Struthio camelus: one gene and its partner. The protein of the gene in region 1 interacts with the protein of each later gene in a pairwise test. Links are inferred from orthologs where the notes say so. Each region holds a gene or a part of one and is shown on either strand. Other genes may lie near its edges.

Region 1 (11,107 bases):
TCAACTTACTTCAATTCTGGCAGATTTTTAACACTAGTTGCTATATCTGATGCTTCAGGACAAAGCTTTTCCACTAGCTCCAAAGGACCAAAAAATGATTTGTTCTGTCCAATAAAAGTCTTCTTCACTAAAGAGAATATACAGAGACGTTTGTGAGGAAAAGTAACAGGCTTCTGCCTCCAACTCCAGAGTCACAAATTTTAGTCGACACTTAACTTCATCTTACCACCTCCTGGTACGTAAATGGGGCATTAAAAGACCCTTGACTGTTTAGGTGGCGGACAACATAGGGCATATCAGAAGGTAAGCACACAGGAATATCAGGAGTACTGATTAGTAGCTTATAGTGCGTGCAATTAATGCCATATTAACTGAAAAGGCAGCGAGACAGGACGCGGCCTCGTTTATCCGCCTCCCCTCCGGGCGTCGCGGCGGGCGCTCACCTTTCAGCCCGTGCTTGAGGCAGTGCTCCAGCACCACGAAGAACTGCTGCAAGGGAGGGAAGTCCGAGTCCAGGGTCCGGCCCAGGCTCAGGGCTGACTGGATCAGGGTTTTGATACTGAGCTTCATCATGTTCATGAGGTTTGCGCGCTCCTCCATCGCGTGGCAGCGGACAGCTAGGCAGGGGAGACACAGGTGGGAAAAGAAAAAATGATTTTTTTTTAAATTGTTTTTTAGAAACGCAGGCTCCCCTTTCTGGCTGTCACAGCAGCGATGAGAGCAGTGCCGCCGGCTTGGTCTCCTTCTTGTCCGAGGGAACGGCTGTAGGGGCGCGGGGGCACAAAAACAAGGCCGGGGTGACCCCCCCTCCGCCGCGGACAGCCTCTGTGAGGGGCTCGAGGGTTATCGCCAGGCCCCGGGCAGCGGCGGGGGCTCCTGCCCTGGCGGAGCCGGTGCCGGTGCGAGGGGCGGCCCGGGCCGGCGGCCCTTCCCCGCGGGGGCGCTGCGGACCGGCTCCCCCGGCGCCCCGCGTTGCCACGGAAACAGAGCCGCCCCCCCCCCCACCCCCTCCGCGCCCGGGAACTCTCGCGAGACCCAGCGAGCCCGGGACGAGGCGCGCCTGGCGGCAGGCGCCATTTTAGAAAGGGTTTTCCCCTGCGCGGCGCTGGGGGAGTGGGCGCTTTGCGTTATTCCTGCCCCGGCTCGCCAGGCAGGTACTGCGGCTCCCCCTCGCCTTCCCGAAAGGCAGCTGCAGCTATTTAGGACGGGGGTGGGGGGAAGGGTGAGTACTGCACCCTGAACTCCCGCAGCCCAGGGAGGCCGCAGCCTGCTCGGCCTGCCGCGCCGCTCCGCGGACGGCGGTGCTGAGCGCCGTCCCCGCTTCCCTCAGCGCCGAGCCCTGCTTCTGAGGGGCGCTCTGCCCCGCTTCCCCTAACGGCACAGGGCAGCGCTCCTCCTTTTAAAAGGAGAGGAGGGTCGAGACAGAAACAGGCTGCCAGCCACGGCTTATCCTCAGCCAACGCAGGTTCTGGCAGATGCTGCCAACCGCAGACCCATGGCTAAATGGTCTTTTGAGCCAACGATGTTGCATTAGGAGAATCCTGCTCGCATCTGCGGATCAAACATGGTAATACCCCCTGCAGAAATAGCAGTCACAGAAGACCAAGTTTAACAGGTAGAGAGCCCCCGCCTCAGTCACATGTGAGATTGCTAATGCTATTCCTAACAGCATGCAAAAGTCTTTTGAGTACTAATTTTCATGATTACCTTCCTTATCGTGCACAGAATGTTAATTCAGGGTTACTAGTGAACAAAAGTCTTCCATATCAGAAGAGTCAAAACAGGGAGTCGTTCTCATCCAAATTCAAGTCAGTCTCAAGAAGAAGCACATAAAATCCTATCTTCTCCATAGGCTGTTTCCAACATATCACTATCTACAGTCAGTATAGTGGATGCCTCAAAACTGCTTATAATGTCCGAGATGAGACTGAGAATTAGAAGGGTTGTAATATTTTTAAATGTTGATGTCAGTATTGCCAGGCTACACGTTAGGAACAGAAAAAAGGCTGACTATGGAAATAGGAAATCAGTGGCCTTGCTTAGATGTTAGGATGCTTCAATGGCAACTCATCGAGTTATTTTGACGATTTCCTGAGACTGGATTTTTACTTGTCAGGCATGTTTTGCTTGTGAGCTTTGCTCAAGGGCTAGGTATCATATCAGCCACAAGTCTTTTTTTAAACGAATTTTGTGAATGATAATTTATTTATGAACAAAAATTTAAATGTAAACCATGTCTTCATAAGCATTTGTACTAAGTACTAGTTAGTACAATCTGAACTATTTTTTAAACAGTTGCAAGGTTGGACAGTCAAGTGCATCTTTTCTAAAACCATGTACAAGTTGGTACATGCAAAAAAGCCAGATACTAGAACAGCGCGATCTACCAAAGCAAGGCCTGGAAGATTAGGAATCGAGTTACTTAAGTGCAAAAGATCACACACGTTATGATGCGGTCATTAAAAACACCGTCACACAGTCTCTTACCTCATCCAATTCAACAGATTTGTTTTAACATCATTTTGAAGCCCCCGTGCCTTGTTTACTGCACACTATTCAGCAGGCCTTGAGGTAGGAAAAAAACTGAAGTATGAAGAAACCTTGACTGTTCTCCACCTCTTGGTCTATAAAACTGCAAGTCTTTCTTGATTTGTATTTAAATTGGTAGCTCCCTATCTTTCCAGCCAAGCGGGACAGTTTCATCAGTAGTACACGCTAGTTTTATGGTGTGCCTTTCCTTTTATCTGTCCAGTTTGCTGTGGAGTGTGCAGTGGTGACTTTTCAAGTGATCAACATACCTGAAGTAGCAGGTAGAGATTATAAAATCTCTGGAAAAGAGGGCAACAAGGAACAAGTTACTAGCACTCCACATATCTTCTTGCAGGCCACAGAACTAGAGGTTATTTATTTAATACCTGCTTTAAATCAAATTTACTGTTCTCAGTCAAGGGTAACGGTGAAGCCTTTTACACAGGAGGGCAGAATAGGTCATCTAGTGCCTGTTCACTTTTTTTTTTTTTTTAAATAAGTTATAAGCAGATTTTTCTCATGGAATTTTCTATAAACGTTGTTCAAAGTATTTGGATAATACGTTCATAATCTGGTGAGGTGGAGTTGCATTCCCTCATTTTACAGATAGGAAGCTGCAAGATTATGGTGAAAGTCCCATGAAGCCTGGGGACTCTCATTTCAGGCAGAATGTTTTAACAGCCCTCTCCTCTACCCCCAGCAAATGCTGCATGTGCTGTTGTACTATGTGTGTTCACAGCAGCGATCCCAATGCACCTGAAGACAGTGGGATATTTTGTCCTTCCTCAGGTTAGATTCCAGGTTCTCACGCTGGGCATCCAGAAAACAAATCTGTTAAATGTGGTCTGAGACTGTGTAATAGATGCAGGGAAAGCGAAATTGTGTCCTGGAAAACTAGATTATTATTTTAAACTCTCCTGACTATACAAAAATCAAGGAATTTTCATTGAAAAAAATCCCCCCCCACCCACCACGAGTAGCTTATTTCACCACATAGCCACAATTCATCCCCAGAGAACTCCAGCTTGAGTACTAAATATCATGAAAAACAAGAAGGTCAGAACCATAACTGAGCTCTGTTGGTCCAAAAAAATCACTAAGCGCTAGCCTGAAAGCCTGGAGGACAAGACTAATGTGACCAGTTACCACTACATTTGAATGGTTTTGTTTCCAGTGCCCGAATATCACTGAGGTGGTACCAAAGGATTCAATTCGCATAAGGATCCAACTAAAGCCCTTTTAGTTCAGCTGTAAAAGACTCGTTCCGTAAATCCATATGGATTGTTATACCCACAAATATGGATGTTTAATAAAGCAAGCTGTAGTTAACTTAAGGGGGCATTTTTAGCATAGTGAAAAAGAAGTAATTCATGACAAGTCTTTGTCTTAGTCTACCTTGTGTCACAAAAAATCATACCACAAGTATAGCTCCTTCTCTGAACCGCCTAGGAAGGATAAGAAATGAGCCACATCACCTACTAGTGCAGTCAGGCTGCTGCTAAGGAGAACTTTAAGGGAGAAGGCAAAAGTAATCAAAAGCCTTATGTACAGAAAATAAAGTCAAATTTTCCGAATATATTCAGAGTTTACGATTTTTCTAGTTAGAATATACTTTGTTCAGTTCTACATCTGTGGTGTTTGTGTAGTTTTGCTTCCATTAAATAGCGCAGCATCAGATTTTTAAAAATAAATTCAGAGTAATAATAATGCCTCACTGACACTGATAAATGCCACTTACGGGAGCTAACTAACTTATTTGTGCACCATAAAAGCAAGTTTACTAAATAAACATAACCATACTTGTTTTTGCTGTGTTGTCATTGCTGACTGGTTTGGATATGAATCCTACCAAAGATGCAGACTTCAGAGCGTTGCCATAGCTCAGCGCTAAGTTTTCTGAGGCTTTCTTAGCCAGCGACAAGATGGGAGCAGACCATCTTGCTTCTTCCGCAGTTTTCTCTTTTCCCTCGTTTTTCAGCTCAGGGGTATTAGGGATCAGGTTTTTGTCAATAATTTCAAAGTCTTCTTTCTGTTCCGCGGCAGATGGGCTCTCCCCTTCGGCCATCTTTGAAGTGTCATATGACGCTAGTCATGAGCAATCGAGTTGGCAGGGCCTCCGCCCTCCCCCGCCTTCTCACTGCAGCTTGGGAGCCAGGTACGTAAGAGCAAGCTGAACGACTCTAAAACTGTTGCATGCCTAAGCAAGGCTGTAAGACAAGCCTTTCCAGAACTGTGAGCAGTTTTCCCGATGTTCGAAGTTAAAGGCTTGGGGAAGGGAGGCGTGGAAGGAGTAAAGGTTTACTTTTTAAACAAAGTTACGGAGGTAACCAAAAACACACCTTGGAGTTATTTATTGCATACTATGTTCCTAAACATTATTTTCAATTAGAATCTTTGCAGTAACCTTTGAAATCCCACATTTTTTGCATTATTTTATGACAACTTAGAGAGATACTACTCTGTCTATAACTCAAGCCATCCGAACTTGATTAAAATAGTGGATACATATGGCAGGTCTGGAGCAGTGAAAAGTGCTCGCTCACATCCTGACATTACAAAATAGCTGTAATCAGAAAGGCTGCTTCATTAACGTAGCTTGGCTGCATTTGGTAGAAAAGATTTATCATGAAGGAGAACTGAATTGATGCTAGCTGGAAAGTTTGACCTTACTAGGTGTCTCGAATATCAATGTAGCCTGCAGAGGCATGGTTTAGCATTCATTTTCTCCATCCAGCAGCTGTATATCCCCAAGATACGTCACTCATTTAATCATGATATAGTAAATGTTGCATATTAGCTCTTCTTGCTATACTGACTGAGGAAGGCATTTTTTGTTAGCTTTGTTTTATTTTTGCTAAGAAATATCCAGACTGTGAGAAGGGGGGGGGGGGGAAGGAAAAGAGGGGAGGGAACAGCAGAGTTGGAGATCAATTTCAGTAGTCTTGCAGCAAAGGAAATCTTCAGGTCTGTGTCTTATTTGTTCTCCTACTCTAAACTATTTTAAGATTTATTCTGCCTCCTAGGCTTCTCAGACACTGAAAGTTTAGCAACTTACGTTCCACAGAACACAGGGAAACGCTCATGTTTTTGCTGAGAAGTCAGAGATCAGCAGCCTTTTATTCACCCATGATTTATTTAAGATAAGTGTAGGCTTTTAGCTACTCTTGCTACAGGGTACAGAAGCAAATTTTACTCCATCTTGTGGACTAAAGGTAGTATTTGACAGTGTGTTTATAGGGAAGTAATATCTAACAGCTTTATAGGGTCTTGTATTATATTTGACTACATTAATATACCTTTATTTGACTTGAGTAAGACTTGACCTTGACTTTCTGCCTTTTACAATCCACCCAATATTAGAGTCAGGAAAAATATTAGCTAGAGAAGCAAAGCAGAATTCTAGGCTTTGGAACAACTTTTCATTGTCAATAAAGCTCAGGAACAAGGCATGAAAATTTTGTGACTGTGAAAATACGAGCAAAACAAGACTTCTACTTCTCTCTCACTATATTGCTCCCATAAGGTCATGATTCATCAGATCGCCTGGTTTAGCATGACAGTTAGCTACTTTGTAAAACATGAAGTGAAACTAGGACATAGTCTCTTGATCATCTTTCTGTATGTTACAATTAAAGAAACAAGTTTAATGTACATGGTAAAGGAACGTTTGGTCATTTTATTTTGGTGCCTGTAGGATATCAAATAGCAGCCTTTATACAGTATCTAAGAAAACTGGTAGAAGTTTTTTGCTGCACAGTCATATGATTCATGACTATTCAGTCAAAATGACTTTAATTTTAGGAAGTCGGCCATTGACAACATTAAATGACCTCTTTGTATTTTAAAGCAAATAACAAGTCATGTAACATTGTAAGTGAGCTCTACCTCAGTGAGGTTTTTTGTTTACAAAGTATAATAATTTGCCCCAGAGTCCTTTAAGTCAGCCATAGAGGATGTAGTTTATATAGGATACAGTTTAAGTGTTTTTTTTTTTTTTTTAAAAAAAGATTATTACTTTAGTTTCAATTCACGTATTTGACAAAGAGGGGAACTACACATGAAGAACACTCTTCACTTTTAACTCTGAAAGTGGGCACATTTTTAGTTCTGTCTTCTGCAGACACTGATATTTCATCACTGTAGTCTCTTCGTTACAGACCACTAGTCCAGCTGTTGCCATTCGTGTGCAGATGAACAAAGTTTTCTTTTGAAAGTCCATTACGTAGCTTGTTTAGAAGGTCTGCAGAAGTATGTAGATATCAGTTATGCGTAACTACAAAAATAGAATTCTTGAGGACTTAAACATTTTTAGGATTCACTGAAAAGTCAGTCAGGAAACTAAATTACTCACTTCCTATTTTTTGTCTGTCCTAACCTCAGATATCAACTCGGAGAAAGCTTCATAATTTTTTTTTTTTAAAAAACATTTTGTTAAGTTCTGCTCCTGTTTCATGCAGCTCTTGCATGGCATTGTTGGATTTTACTCTCCCTCCCCTACCCCCCTTCTTAGGGGAATGAAAAAAAATTGTATTTGACATATTTAAATAATGGGAGGACTAAAGTGTAGCAGTAGATTATTCCCAAAGGACTCCTATTTTGATCAGGAAACTATACACTTCAGCTGACAGTCTGGCTATCCAAAGTAGAAGATAATTTTAGAATAGGAGAAGCTATATTATTTGCCTTCAGCGATATTGAAAGGGATATTTGTTTTCATGTAGAGATTTTTTTAAAGACAGTTTCTTTGGTTAGTTCTTCTCCTTTATATCAGATGTATTCCTTTTGGGGGTAATGGCTTAAAGAAGCCTTTTTGCCATGTAGCATTTCAAATGCGTCATGCACTCGAAATATTTAAAAAACAGCACTAATGCCACTGTCTGTTAAAGGGTGAACTTTTGTGATTAGCTGCTAATTATACCTTGCATTTCGCTAACCTCTTCTACCAGCCAGACATGGATTGCTTTACAAATAAACTAGTCAAGTTTTAGACCTTTACAATGCTACTATTAGGAAATACCGAGTGTTGCTCTAGTCGGCGTAACAAAAGAAAAAAAATGCATTTTATGCATTTAACAGCATATTGTACAGAATTCACAGAGCTATACTACAATTTATAGTAGTTAGCATTTAAGTGCTGAGGGATTCAATGGTTGCTGAATGGAACTGGATCCACAGAGTTCTGAGCAGCCATTTTGCACCTGCATAAGGAAAGGTCTGATGCACAGAAATGTCTTCACGGTCTGAAATTTTTGGCTAGGGGCTTGCATCTTTTGTGGAGCACCTACTAATATTTGGATGCTTCCTGGGGAAGGAGACCTTCCTCCACTTCTAATCTTTCAAAGCACGAGCAGTTGTATTTGAAAGTTGCAGATTGATCTGGTAGAGTTCAGTGGAGAACCTATGTGAATAATTGTGCTTACATTTTTGTGTGATTTGATCCTAGTTTGTCCCAAGTGTATGGATTTTATTAGAAGAAAAGAAGCTTAAAGAACATGATCTTCAAGTCCTTAAGACTTTATATGATCCGGGTCAAAGGTACAGAGAAGGAACTAACACTTCAGAATCACCTGGATTTCAAGTTAGTGAACTTTGCCACCATTTCACTGTACAGTTTTAAGAGAGGAATCAAGAAGAAGATTCAGACGAATCATTCAAGAGGAACAGCTGGTATGATGTGATAAGCTTATACATGCGCATAGTGCAGCTATCAAGAATGATCTTCCAGTGATTACAGCAGCGTCACATATCAGTAAAGGGTTATGTGCTTCAGTTGCAGTATTCCCTCCCTCCCATTCGTAGAAGCCTTAAATCATTCTTCTGCTTGTGCACTGAGGTACGTGAATGCCAACTGAGGAAAAGCAGTATTAGTAGCAAAGGATAGCATATTTCCTTTAGGAACTCATTGAAAAAACTCTGTAGCACTAACTTAATTCCCCCATTATACCATAGTGATTAAGTTATTATGCTTTTAGAGACAACAGTTTAACTGTTATTGCACCTGCAGTGCAGCTAATCAGCTAACATCCTTTCCAATCACCTCTAATCAAAGAGCTTGCTTAAAAGCCTCAAATTATTTCCAGTTGTGTTATTGCACTTGTATTAAGTCAGAGCAGTCTCATTATTTTAACCACCACTTTATGTTCCCTGATCCAGATGCACCAGCTTGTGCCATCATTGAGAAAAAAATCCTTGTTACTACTGAAAGAATCAGCTGCTTGAAACTGTCATTTCACAAGTCATTGAAATCCCTGAGAGGAAATGGAAATAGTACTAGGTGGTAATGTGCATCATTGTAGTAAAGAAAGAAAAGATAGAGTAGAATACTGAAGAGAAAAGTCTGTCAAAATATTCACTTGGAATCAAAACAACAGCAACAGAATTTAATGTATACTGAAATTAGCCAGTTAAGGCCAAATACTATCTGGATACATATTAAATGACACAGTCTGAATGAACTAGACTAGTAATTTACAACTGGGGAGAAAACACATAGTATATGTCTTGTTCTACTCTATCACCGGCTTGTTGGAAAAAAAGCAAAGCGTTTGATAGAAAGACAGGGGGGCGGGAATGTCAGAAAACAGGCAAAAAGAACATACTTGCCAATTTTCCTGTTTGTGCTGTAACATAGTATTTAGTGGTACTGTGAATACAGAGGCAGCTGGCAGAACTTCCCACTAGGTGACACTACAGCACTACTTTATTCATAGTGCAGACTCTAACATAGCAACGAGGCACTAAGAGCAAATACCATGTTGTGAAGATACCTGGGAAACAGCAAATAGCTCACGAGGTGTCACCTTCCCAGCAGGGTCTGTAAATAGCAGGTTTTTTGCCAATCTTAAAATAAGATGGGAACTTTGGACATCTTTATGCAACCTTCTGCTGGGAACAGAACTGAAGCAACAATACAGCAGTACTTCATTTAAAAGCCTTACTATCCTAGAAACACCCTTTATTTTTTTTTATTTGAAAAGAATTTTAAATGTGGACAGAAACAAGCTAAGATGCATACCTGAGCAGCTCCCAAAGTTGCAGTCCCCCACGATATAAGCTGTGTTAGCAGAAGCCATTTTGGGAAAAGGAAGTAGTTGCCTGGCTTTTATAGGAGGTTCAAAGTTGTGAGCAGTGAACATATGTCTAGGAATACTCTCTGTTGTAACCCTAGCTGTGCATGAATTCAGGGTCATTTACTAGTTCCAGAGTTTCATGTGGGATTTTGAAATGGCCAGTGTTGTACAAAAAATGTGGGCTGTTAAAGGTTGTTACATAATGTTGCAAGTCCTTTATAGGAGTCAGGAAGTTGGAAAGAAAGATAGAATTTGGTCTAGTTTACAGACCACATCAGAAATCAGAGCACATCTGTTTGAATGGGATAATTTATGGACTTAGATGACCTGTGTGTTTTTCCCCTGCTCTGTGTTCTCGTTAAATAGTATTTGAGCCAAACAGTTCTGACCTACAGTCTGAGAGAAGAGGTTAGCTCTATAAATACATTTATAAAGTAAGAGTAATTATAAAGTAATTATAAATTTGCAAACAGCTATTTACACGATCTGTTTATAAATTGAAAAGTGAAAGGCTAAGTTGACCATGTCTTAAGGTGAGTAAATCCACAAGCAAGAGCTCCGAGTGGTGGTGGAACTGATGGAGGACTAAGTTGACTTTATATTTGTGTCTGGCGTGAGTTGGCTTGTAAATATCTAGCTTTTTTTCAAATGTGCCTTTTTTATTTTGTATTACACTTTTCACGGCTTATGTATTTTCTTTTCTTGGCTTTTCCCAGGTTGACTTTTGTTACTATTGCATGCAGACAGTTTTGGATTAGGTATAATTTTGCAGATTTTATAAAAGTGGTGTGAATTAATAACTGTACTGAGGGATGGAGGGTCAAAGGAATTGTAAATGGGATTAAAAGCTGAATCCTAACAGGATGTGAATGTCGTATCTTTGAAATATGATGCCAGCATTTCTGCTATGTAATGCAGCCTTCAGCTAACATGCATGAAAATGCTTCTGTGGGACTTAATTAGCTGAAGAAGGGAGCTCATATTGTTCCATTAATGTAATAGGAACATGTTGCGAATTACAGAAGAAAATGTTATTAGAGATTATATGATAAGCCGATGAAATGCATAATATGTTCCCTAGACAAGTCTAAAAACACCTTTATGTTAAACAAAACACTACTTTTTATTTGTATTTTTAAAAGAAAATATGTAAAATTCCTTATGTAAAATTTAATGTATTATCCATGAAGGCTGAAAAAAAGTGCAAAACTCTGATTAAAAGGGAATTTCCCCCCAAAATAATATGGCATGATGTGCTTCAAAAATCATGGCTTCAGAAATCTTGAGACATCATCACTTCATCAGTGTGAGTGGTTCCGCAAGTTTCTTCTGCTAACTATCCTTTTGGCATCCACCTACACTTCCAGCTTTCTTTCCTTCCCCTTGTAGCCCAGGCCACCTGCCCCTTCCTGCCCAAACCTGTGCAGGCACGGGTTTGTCTGTCCTCTTTCCAACCTGTGCAGATACTCTGTCCTCTCCACCAAGAGGAGATTAGGAAGGATCAGCAG
Region 2 (10,233 bases), on another chromosome or scaffold:
AGTAGTCAAATGAAAATGCTTGATCTAGTTTGCCTATTGTTACTATAAGAGTAGCTTGGCTACTTGTCTGAACCAAAGCAATCAAAAACCAAATGCTCAAAGGCTTCCTGAAAAGCAATAATTATATTGTGGTTTATTTCCTTTTGAAACAAAAGCCTGATGTAAAACGGTCTCCTATAAGCTCTGGAGTCTTTCACAGATTGTTCAAAGTTGTCATCTTCAGTCTGTCTTGTATTTAAAAGCAGTTTCCTTGGTTAACACTAATAGTCCATTTATTAAACACCATCACTAAACATTTGTTGCTTCAAAATTTCAATTTTCACTTTAACAGTCGCAAGCATGATGACAACAGAACTGTTACCTGCTCAAATGAGGGGGGGAAAAAAAATCATATAAGGGAAAAAAGGTACTATTTCTAAACATTCTGATGAAAAGTTAATTTTAATTAGCATTTAAAAAAATATATCAAAGTGCATATTAGCTGTAGTGTTTTAATAGTCACACAGCAGGTCTTTCAAAAAAGTAATAAAGTCTCAAAGACATCATTTATTAGACTCCAAAGCCTGCTTTTATTGACTTTTTTTTTAAGGGTAGGAGAGTGGATTTTGTTCCAGTTCTCCAAAAAGACTGACATTAGCCCTCTACTAGTCTTGCATTCTTTTCCATAGGGTTAAAATACATTTTAAAAAGTCTTGAAATATTTTGCATTATGTAACCTGGAAATTAATAGGCTTTAAGTCCTAAAGAACTGAATAGGGCATGACAGTGTAGCACACTAGCAGACTAAGAAGTAACTCTTAAAGAGGCAGTCCAATTAAGTACAGCCACTCTATACCTACAGATATCAGATGCAAGCAGGTATTTTTCATAGGAAGTTAAGAAAATAATATTTCTGTAAAGCTTATGAGGATATTAAATTAAGGTTTAAAATACCCGTATAAGTCACACCTATCCAATTATGGACAAAAAAAAGTTTGAAGGGTTTTTTCTTCAGGGCTACACAGTGTTTTAAGCTTAAAAACTCATTAGTCACAAAATTCAAGCAAATTTAAATGCTTATCGATGCTAGTTCATTGCACAAACACAATTCAAGATTTGGCATAGGAATTCCCTTAAGGTTTACAGAAAACAATTCAAAATTGAATCATAAGTATGGTTCACTGCCTCCCTCCAATCTACCTTGGCATGGATTACAGCTCACCAAATAACCTTGGCGCTCCTGTAGCCCTTGCCCACCACATAAACAATGAGATGCCAGCAGCCAAAGCCTTTAAAGTGTTGCAAGCAAGATATGAAGTTTTTGTTTAAGCACCACTATGCAACAGATTGTGATAAAAGTAAATTCTTCACAAGTCTGATTTATTAAGATTATATAAAAAACAACTAGAGATAAAATAAGATAGCGTGGCCTTTAGCTACTTCAGAGACACAGAAAAATTACCCTACCTTTAAGGTTTTGCAATTATGATGGAACTTTCTACTTAAGCAGCCCAAACAGGGAACATAATTTGGGAGACAGCAAGATATGAGAGAAAAGAAGAGCACTGAACTACTCCAGTCTTCAGATATTCTACTTTTATTTGAAAGTGATCTTACACAACATATTGACCTATCAAAAGCAAAAGAAACAGTGAGGAAAGTTTAAAGAACAAGCAAAAAAAAAAAAAGGTTCAGTTCAGTTCAACAGGGTTTTTTTCCTATCATATTTCTATTAGTTATGCCATATGAAGTCACTATGATCAGGGTCTTTTATATTCTGTACTCTCATATTAGACATACAAAACAATTTTTCACGCTGTTTTAAAGAAATATTTAACCTATTTGATAACAAGATTTTATCAAGTCCATTAAAAGAATTTTTGTTTTGCTGAACTGATGATTAAAAATCTCATTTGAAAGTGTTATCATTGGGATAGCTTCATCTAGAAAAGTACAGGTGACTGCAAGTGTTTTATCTCTTACAAAAATAAGTAGCAGGCAAGATTCAAAGATCTATATTTATGAAGTGTTTGTGAAACCTATAAATGCAGTCTAGAATCCAGTATACCTTTTACTAGAGAGAGAGGAAAAAAAAAAAATCAGTGCTTTGCAAGGTATAATGCTTGGAAATTTTATTATAAACAAACATTCAGTGAATGCTGTTCGGTTCCAAAAGCCTCTCTAAACCAAGTTAGTTTTACTGTGAATATTCATCTCTTTCCAGATACTGCTCTTTTTAAGGCACAGCACTGTTCTGCCTTGTTTTGGAAACAGCTTTACAACACCTTATCGGTTTTAAGCCTGATCACACTGACTGACAGCATCACAACTCTTGCCAAAACTTCAACTAAAGTAACCCTTTCATTTTTTAATTAACACTAAAAATATTTTATTAATAAATAAAAATGATTACAGTTTTCACGGTTTTTGCAAAGCCTTCTAAAGCTATCTGTAAACGCATTAAGGAAATATTTCATTTTCTTAATTTCTGAAAAAACTGGTTACCATACTACGTGTAATTGAAGTGTCTTAAACTTTAAGTTTTGGCAAAGTTACAGTAGACAAGACTTTAAGCACCATATTTAAAAGGCTCTTAAAAATAAAAATCCAAAGTACATGTTTTCTGAGAAAATCCATAAATTTAATTGGAATAGCTATGAGAGCAGTTTATTTAGCATTTTAAAATTAATTTTAAATGAAGTCAATACAGCTATGAAGATAGGTGTAGTTTGTAATCAGAAGATTTATTTTAACTTTCCTTATAGAAAAATTTACCCTTTTAAATATACTGTAACAAGATGGATATTTCAGTTGCAGCTGTGAGGTGCACTCACATTTGTTATTTATTAAAAGCATAATGAGAATGGTAAATTATTCATCCTTCTTTGCTCACTAGGTAACATTAACCAAGCGCAGCAGAAGAGCGACCGCTGAGACAGAAATACAAAAGGCCTGATTTTAACCCACCCCAGACCTCATTAAACCAATCTATAATAAAATGAAAACAACAATAAAAATATTAAAGCAACAAGAGCTAAGGTTCTTCCCTTATTTTACTGAGGAATGTAAATATTCGAACAGATGGTAGCTGCCACTGCATGCTTCTAGATTGAATAACCTTTCGTCTGCTCCTAAAGAGAAGCTGGTAATCACAAATACTGCTAGTCTTAACTACCTAGATCACCGTTTCTCAGATTTTCTGCGGAAGATGCTTACAGATGAACACAACGAACAAATCAGCGAGCACACAGTCAAGTAAGCCATCCGCAAACAAAGCGGACCACACTTCCAAACTGATGAAAACCCGGTTGCTTTTTGTCAGCAGTACTTCTGAGTTTACGGCATCGTCCAGGATCTTGCGCTTGGTGTGCCCCTGCTTCCTGGAGTCCTACGAGTATCAGGGAGCCCCCAGCAGAGCGCGAGCACGTCGGCAGCGCAACGCTTCCGCACCGCTCACCGCCTTGCCACCAACTCGCAACCAGAATTCCCTCCGCGCGCCTTGCTCTCCAGCGTAATCGCGTTAAGAAACGACGGCGAGCTGCAAATCCCCGCTCCTGAGCTGCTGCAGCAGTACGCAGTGGCCGCCGAGCCGCGGGCCCGCCGTCAGCCTCGGCAGCGCTCGCAGACCGCGGAGCGGTCGGAACCGCGCCGAAACCAGCCCGCCACCGCGCCGACCGCGCCTCGCCCCAGCCCTCGGGCCGCGCCGCCGCCCGCCCTCCCTCCGCGGACCCCCGCCCGGAGCCGGCCGCGCTGCCCCGCCGGGCACGGGGAAGCGCTTGCGAGCAGTGCTAGCCCGAGCGCGGCTCCCCCTCACGCTAACTAACGCCAACCGTCAGCCCTCCCTGCCGGCCGGCACCGCCGCCCCGCAGCCCCCCGGCCCGGGGGCTCCCCTCCCCCCACCCCAAGCGACTTCGCTGCCGACCGCGGTTCAAGCCAACGGCACCGGGAACGAGCCGCGCCGCGCCGGGCGCACGACGCCTCCCCGCCAAGCTGGCCCCGGCAGCGGGCGCAGAGCCCGCCCCACAGCCGGCCGGCACCGGGAAGCCCGCCGGCGGCTCCGCACCGGACAGGCGCGGTGGGGCCCCACGATGGGGGGGGGGGGGGGGGGCACCGCCGCCACTCACCTGCCGAGCCCAGCGAGAGCGGCCGTCTCCGCACCGCGTCCCCTCAGCCAACCTCGCCGGTGGGGGGGGGGACTGGAGGGGGCGGGACGCCTCGCAACCACTGCGCATGCGCCCCACCCGCCGGGGGCGGGAGGCAGGCAGGTGCGCGAGACCCCGCCCGGGGAGGGGTTTAACCGTCGCCCCAACCGCCAGCCCCGGCGGGAAGGGGGTGGGGCGGCGGCTCGCCTCCGCCAGCAGCCTCTGTGGGGCCTGGTCTCCATTCCCCTCCCCCCCCCCCGGAGTTGCCTCTTGTCCTCGGGAAGCGCCCCACGCTGTTGAGCGGGAGCAGCCGGCCTCGCCAGCGACTCGAAACACCTTAAAGGAGGCTCGTAGGGCGGCCCCTGCCTCACCCGGCCCTCGGCTTGTCGCGCTGTCGGCAAACAAGTCGCGTTCCCAAGGGCTAGAGGAAAGGAGGCGCGGGCTGAGGGGGGAGGACAAGCTACACGGCCGGAGTGGGCCCGTTCCCGGCTCTTCTGCCGCTCTGATGGCTGCAGCGGGTCTGCTCCGGGCTCGCCGTCACCTTCCCTCGACTGCCAGCAGCACCAAGGACTCTCCTGGCTGATGCTCTGGCCACAACGCGCTCCCAGCTCATCGTTTTCAGGCCCAACTTGAAAAAATACTGAATACTCACCGTTGAAGTGGTGCACAGCATAAACTGTCTTAGGTGCTGCGGTTTGCGAGAAGGCAAACTACAGGTAGAGTTGTGACTTTGGAAGTGGTTTGTCAATACTTAGCTCCTCTGATGGTGAGCTGGAAAAGAGGGCTAAAACATCACTTTTGTTCACAGGCAGGTGAGGACAAGATTGTCAAAGTCTGAGTGTTTTGTTACCTGGAGCATCTTTGAGGGGGGGGAAAAAAAAGCAAGGAAATGAGTAGTTCTGTATTTAATTGGTATACAGTAATAAAGTTACAGGACTGCACAATCAAAAATGAGAAACCTGATACTTACCCAGGGATTTTCATTCATGGGGCATGCATCTCCCTAAATGAGGGCCTACTCCTGTCTAATATATGTAATAAAAGACTGAACTATAATGCATATGCACAGGAATGATGAAATAAGGTCCCATAACTAAAAAAGACTATTATTAAAAAAAAGCTTTGTTTTTCCAGCTTTACTAGTTTGTCCAATAAGAAGTTATTACTATTACTTCTAATCTTGGCTTGACTATGTCCTTAAACCATCGTTACTGCAACCGTGACAACTACTATAGTTCAGGCAATTTTCTGACTTTGTGGCAGTTAACATGTAGCCTTCCCTTTTTCCTTTTGAAGTCCCAGTCTGTATATTGCTTTTAGAATCAGTAGTCAAAACATTAGAAGGTCTCTATAAACAAGACTCCATTTTACCACTGTTCTGATTAGGCAGCCAAAACTTATGCTTCAAATGACAGCAGTATTGACTGTATCATTGCTTATTATTGCTTATTGTCAGTAGCAGCTGAACTGAGTGCTGCACTGGTAAGTAACTTTAGCAAAAAAAATCCTAATGTAAATAAGATCGCCCCATTCATCAGTTAAAGAATCTAGGCCACATTCCAGTCAATTATTGAAAGGTTAATTATCTTGACAGCTTTCCACTGAATGTGAAAGAATGCTGCTTGACCAGTCCTGCAGGACACAGCTATCGACAATTGGACAAATAATGTTCTTAACCATAGCTTCCACAAAGCAAAAAGTTCATTGAGGGCAAAATAATATGACAAAGAAGATGTCAAAAGACAAAGATATCAATGTCATTCATCATAAATATATTACCTATAAATAGTAGTATCTTTTAAAATGATCTTCAGTGCATAAATCTACACTGACCGCAGGTGGGGTGGGGAGCGGTCAGGCAGCCAAAAAAAAAAAAAAGCTACATAGAATCATCATCAACTGCTTCTCGGGAAGTAATCTAAAACCAATGAACCAAGTAGAGCAGAAAGTGGTGTAGTTGAATAACAGTATAATTTGAAGTTTGTTGTGAAAAGCCTCAGAGTGGAGATGCTCAGGTCTTGGTGCTCCGACCTTTAAACATACAATAGAGACCAGTCAGTGCTATCAGAATACAGGTTTCTGAAGTTAGAAGATACATCAGAAAGTTCATTAAAAACATGATTGCAAAAGAGACCTGACAAGTGGAATCAGAAGTTGGAAACAATGTATCAGGATTTAGTAAACTGACAAGAGTCTATAATTAGGATCTGTAATCCTATAGTTCTTAATCCTGTAGAATGACTGTACTTGGCATGACAGTCTGCTGTTCTAACCAGATTAGATGTCTTGCATTTCAAGAAATAAAAGCCATACAGTTCTAAAGGTATTTGGTTGTGCTAAAATTAATCATGAACAGATTTATTTTGTCAAAGTATTCCTATATTTTGCTATGTATGATACTTTGAAAAGTCAGATGGCAAGAAACTGTAGAAAATATAACTTACATGGTTAAAATTAGAAGTTGAAACAACTAGGATCAAGTTCAAATATATTAATAAAAATTAGAGTCTCTTTTCAAGAAAAAAATCTGTTTTAAAAGAGTACTTTTAGGCAACCTTTGGTTTCTTCCTGAGCTGCACATCAGCACCAGGGAACAGCAAGAATGGGGCCACTCCACCGTGGATAACTAGTTGGGACCAAGGGTGGCCCCAACCGGCAAGGGCACAGTCATGCACAGGGCTGGGATGGTGACAGCAACAGTTTCTGTCATTCATCTAGTGACCATCAGAAAAGGTGAGATTTTGAATCACGTCCAGGATCCATCCTAGAAGTCCACCCAGGAACAGCAGAAGACAGGACCAAAGACCAAGCCACCTACAATGTAGGTATGAGCTTCGTCCAAGGGGGAAGGAACAGAGACAGGCTCACCCAAAACACAGCTCAGGCAAAACCTGCAGTCCCAAACCCAAGCTTAAATGAAGCCCCTAGAGCCCCTCCCCACTATGGAAAAAGGGTGCTTGGGTGGAGATCCCAGGTGAAGCTGGTCAGGACAATTAAGGCCTAGTAGTGCCATCAGGGTCCTGGCAATTAGACACCATCAGGAAAACTGAAAGTCCTTTTATAAGCAAAAACATACATGGCTGTTCTTTTAAATGAGCAAAGCCACTGTGGCCAGTAGAAAGTGAGGTACAGTTTACAGCTTTGCTGGAATAAAATATGCCATGAATGCTGTCTCTGAATAAACAGATGTAGTCTGACAGGACCTTTCAACAAAACTGCACAATATATAAAACGTGGAGGATGGAATTTTCTGCAATTGCGTTGTTTCAGTATTTGCTGCTCCTAGAAAATCTATTTACTCAGCTTGTTGAATCATTTCCTATGTTCCTTTTGGACTCCTTAGTGTGGTTAGATGCCCCAAAATAGAAATTCACATTCTCCAGCTAGATAGAAAGCTGCATCCTATCTTGCTGCAGTCAGACTCGGTCTCAGCAGTCCATATACTGATAACTGACAGACTCATTGCTGTAGCTTCTGTCCAGACATACTGGTGCAAAATGTGGTGAATATTTTCGCAAACATATTCCCTCACTGCACACAATCCCTCTGACTACAGCATCTTTGTCTGTCCAAATCCTCTATTACATTTAAACCACTGGTGTGAGAGAGCGTGTCTCCAAATGCAGCTGTATTCTTCCCTAATAGTTACCTTTCACTGGACTATATTTCAGTGAGGAAAATCAGTCTCGGTGAGGAAAAAGCACAGGGGAAAAAGATGCTTCACAGAGGCTAGGCCCAGACTGTAGCAGGCTTCTCTGCTAAAAGCCAAGAATGACTGCAGGATTTTAAAGTGAAGTGCAGTGTTTCCCTTTGATCTGACTTGACTTTAATAAAGGCTTCTTACATGTACTCACAGGCACAAACACTGGCTAGTCAAACTGTTCCTCCTGCAGGCTGGGAGGACTAAGAAGAATGAGGTGGTGGTTTTCTCAAGAGAAGGTGTTCGAGTGTGTGGTAGGGAAGGATGCCTCAGCAATTTCACAGATAAATAAAGCAGATAAGGTTGGACTCTATTTTCTACTTCCTTGAGGTACTTCTTGCTTGTTTCTTTTGTTAGCTTTTAATATTGCATAAACTAATTATTACCTCACTTTCAAAGAAGGTATTACAAAACAATAAACTCAGGCAAACCAAGGGATAAATCTATTAATAGAAGTCGTACATGCATTGCAACACCATAGGACAGTGAAGAGAAGCCAATAAATGTTCTACTATGTACATATAAGGAAACTAAGGTACAGAGACTATAAATCTTATCTACACTAGAGATTTTTTTTTCCTTCTGCTAGTTCAGCTGAACCAGTGCTAGCAGTTTTGGGAACCGTGGCATAGACAAGACTTCCCCAATCAGGCATATTTCGTCAGCATTTTAGCTAAGCTTTTGGAAAGCAAATCTAATTGGTACATTGGTATAAATAAGCATCCAGCTATGGGAGTGCTAAAACCACGGCTTTTGTCTTTACTGCCCCTGATTTAACTGATAGAACATTAAAACCAATGAGACCTTATTTTTCTTCAAATTTATCCACTAAAAAACCCCTCCAGAATAAGAGCAAATAGACAGGATTGATGTTAAATACTCCTGACATATAGCCTGTTTCTCAAAATTTCTGGTAATGGAGATTCCACAGCCTCCCTAAGCAATGTATTCAAGCGCTGAACTACCCTTGGAGATAGAAATGTTTTCTGAAGTCTAACCTAATCGCCTTTGCTGGAAACGAGGACAAGAAGTAATGAGCTTATCTCAGTGGATGCTGGAAGCAAGAATCTTTAGCATATTTGAAGACATCATCTACCCCTCGTTTTACTGGAAGACTAAACAAACACCGTTCTTTTAATCCTTCCTTGTAGGTCACAATTTTTAGACTTCCAGTTGCTTTTATTGATCTCTCTGGGCTTCCTCCAGTTGGTCCTCATCTTTGTAAATGAACAGTGTGCAGACCTAGGCACAGTACTCCAGATGAGGTCTTAACAGCATTGGCTCTAACATATCACACACCTGCTTGTATTTCCCAGCAAAAGGCTTAGGATTTTTGTTCTGTTTTGTTTGTTTGTTTGTTTTGTTTTTATGGTAGCAGAATGATGCTTAACCAGCCTTTCTCCAACTCATGTTTGTGACTTGGCTTGGGAACTTGTTTCTAAGTCCATTGATTCTTACTGAATTCTAATCCTGTTCTGAAAAAATGCTTATGGCTCTTCATATCTTGCAAATTTAATAAGCGTACTCCCTCTTCTATCAACTAAGTCCTTAATTAAAGTATTACACACTATCAGAACCTGGATGATCCCCTGAGAAAAGTTGCTTTACTTTAACAAGAAGTTATTTAAAAGCATGCTTTGAGAACAGTTTTCAGATCAGTCATGCACCGACTTTGCAGCAGTTTGCGCTGGACAGTTTCCCTCACTTTTTTATGAGATGTCATAGGAGGCAGTTTCTAAAGCCTTACCTAAGTCTAGGTGTATCACATATATTGCTTCTTGGAATTTGCTTTTTGTCTTGGAATGACTTAAATGATTCGCTCAAAGCACGCAGCAAATCTGTTGCAAAACCAAGACCCATAACCAGTTCAGTCCCCTCCTCTGTTAGGCATATCAGCGTACTAAATCGGCATAAGAAATATGATGTCTAAAAAGTGAGTGTCCATTAAAGACATTAATTAAATGTCAAGACTTGAATAATAAAAAATGTAAAATTGAGGAAAGAAAATCCTTTTATACACAGCATATACCTATGCACAACCTGTAGAACTCATTGACACGGTATAACAGGAATAGCAAATTTTTAGTTGTGTTTAAAAAAAGACAATTTTACCTTTTATATGGCTAGACAGAACCCAGACTAATTAGGGAAGATACAAATGAATAAAGAATATCAATTATCATTTTCAGGGTATAAGGCAACTATTAGCTGACAAAGGTTAAAAAGAAATTTCCCCTCTGAGCAAATTCGTTCATGACTGTGCACTTTGACCATAAGACTGATTCTGCTTTTGTATATAAAATAGATACCGCTTCTAGTTTTTTTTTGAAGATGCTTATAAATGTGAAATAATACTAAACGGAAGAAACAAAAAAGCTGAAATGGCCTAACTAACTTATGTAAGGAGTGACA

Evidence for each region.
Region 2: the proteins of RUFY1 (region 1) and RAB3IP interact in binary tests that used the Homo sapiens proteins (3 or more experiments, as listed by UniProt). The two-hybrid records come from large-scale screens. The link is inferred for Struthio camelus from reciprocal best matches to the Homo sapiens genes RUFY1 and RAB3IP.

Annotation. Positions count from the first base shown.
Region 1 is NC_090954.1:6,832,792-6,843,898, reverse strand, and holds the start of RUFY1 (RUN and FYVE domain-containing protein 1), read right to left. Parts: upstream 4,615-11,107; 5' UTR 4,595-4,614; coding exon 4,330-4,594; intron 1,616-4,329; exon of another isoform or gene 1,236-1,615; intron 618-1,235; coding exon 444-617; intron 128-443; coding exon 10-127; intron 1-9. UniProt on the Homo sapiens protein: Activating adapter involved in cargo sorting from early/recycling endosomes. Regulates retrieval of proteins from endosomes to the trans-Golgi network through interaction with the dynein-dynactin complex.
Region 2 is NC_090942.1:40,819,650-40,829,882, reverse strand, and holds the start of RAB3IP (rab-3A-interacting protein), read right to left. Parts: upstream 4,204-10,233; 5' UTR 4,104-4,203; intron 1-4,103. UniProt on the Homo sapiens protein: Guanine nucleotide exchange factor (GEF) which may activate RAB8A and RAB8B. Promotes the exchange of GDP to GTP, converting inactive GDP-bound Rab proteins into their active GTP-bound form.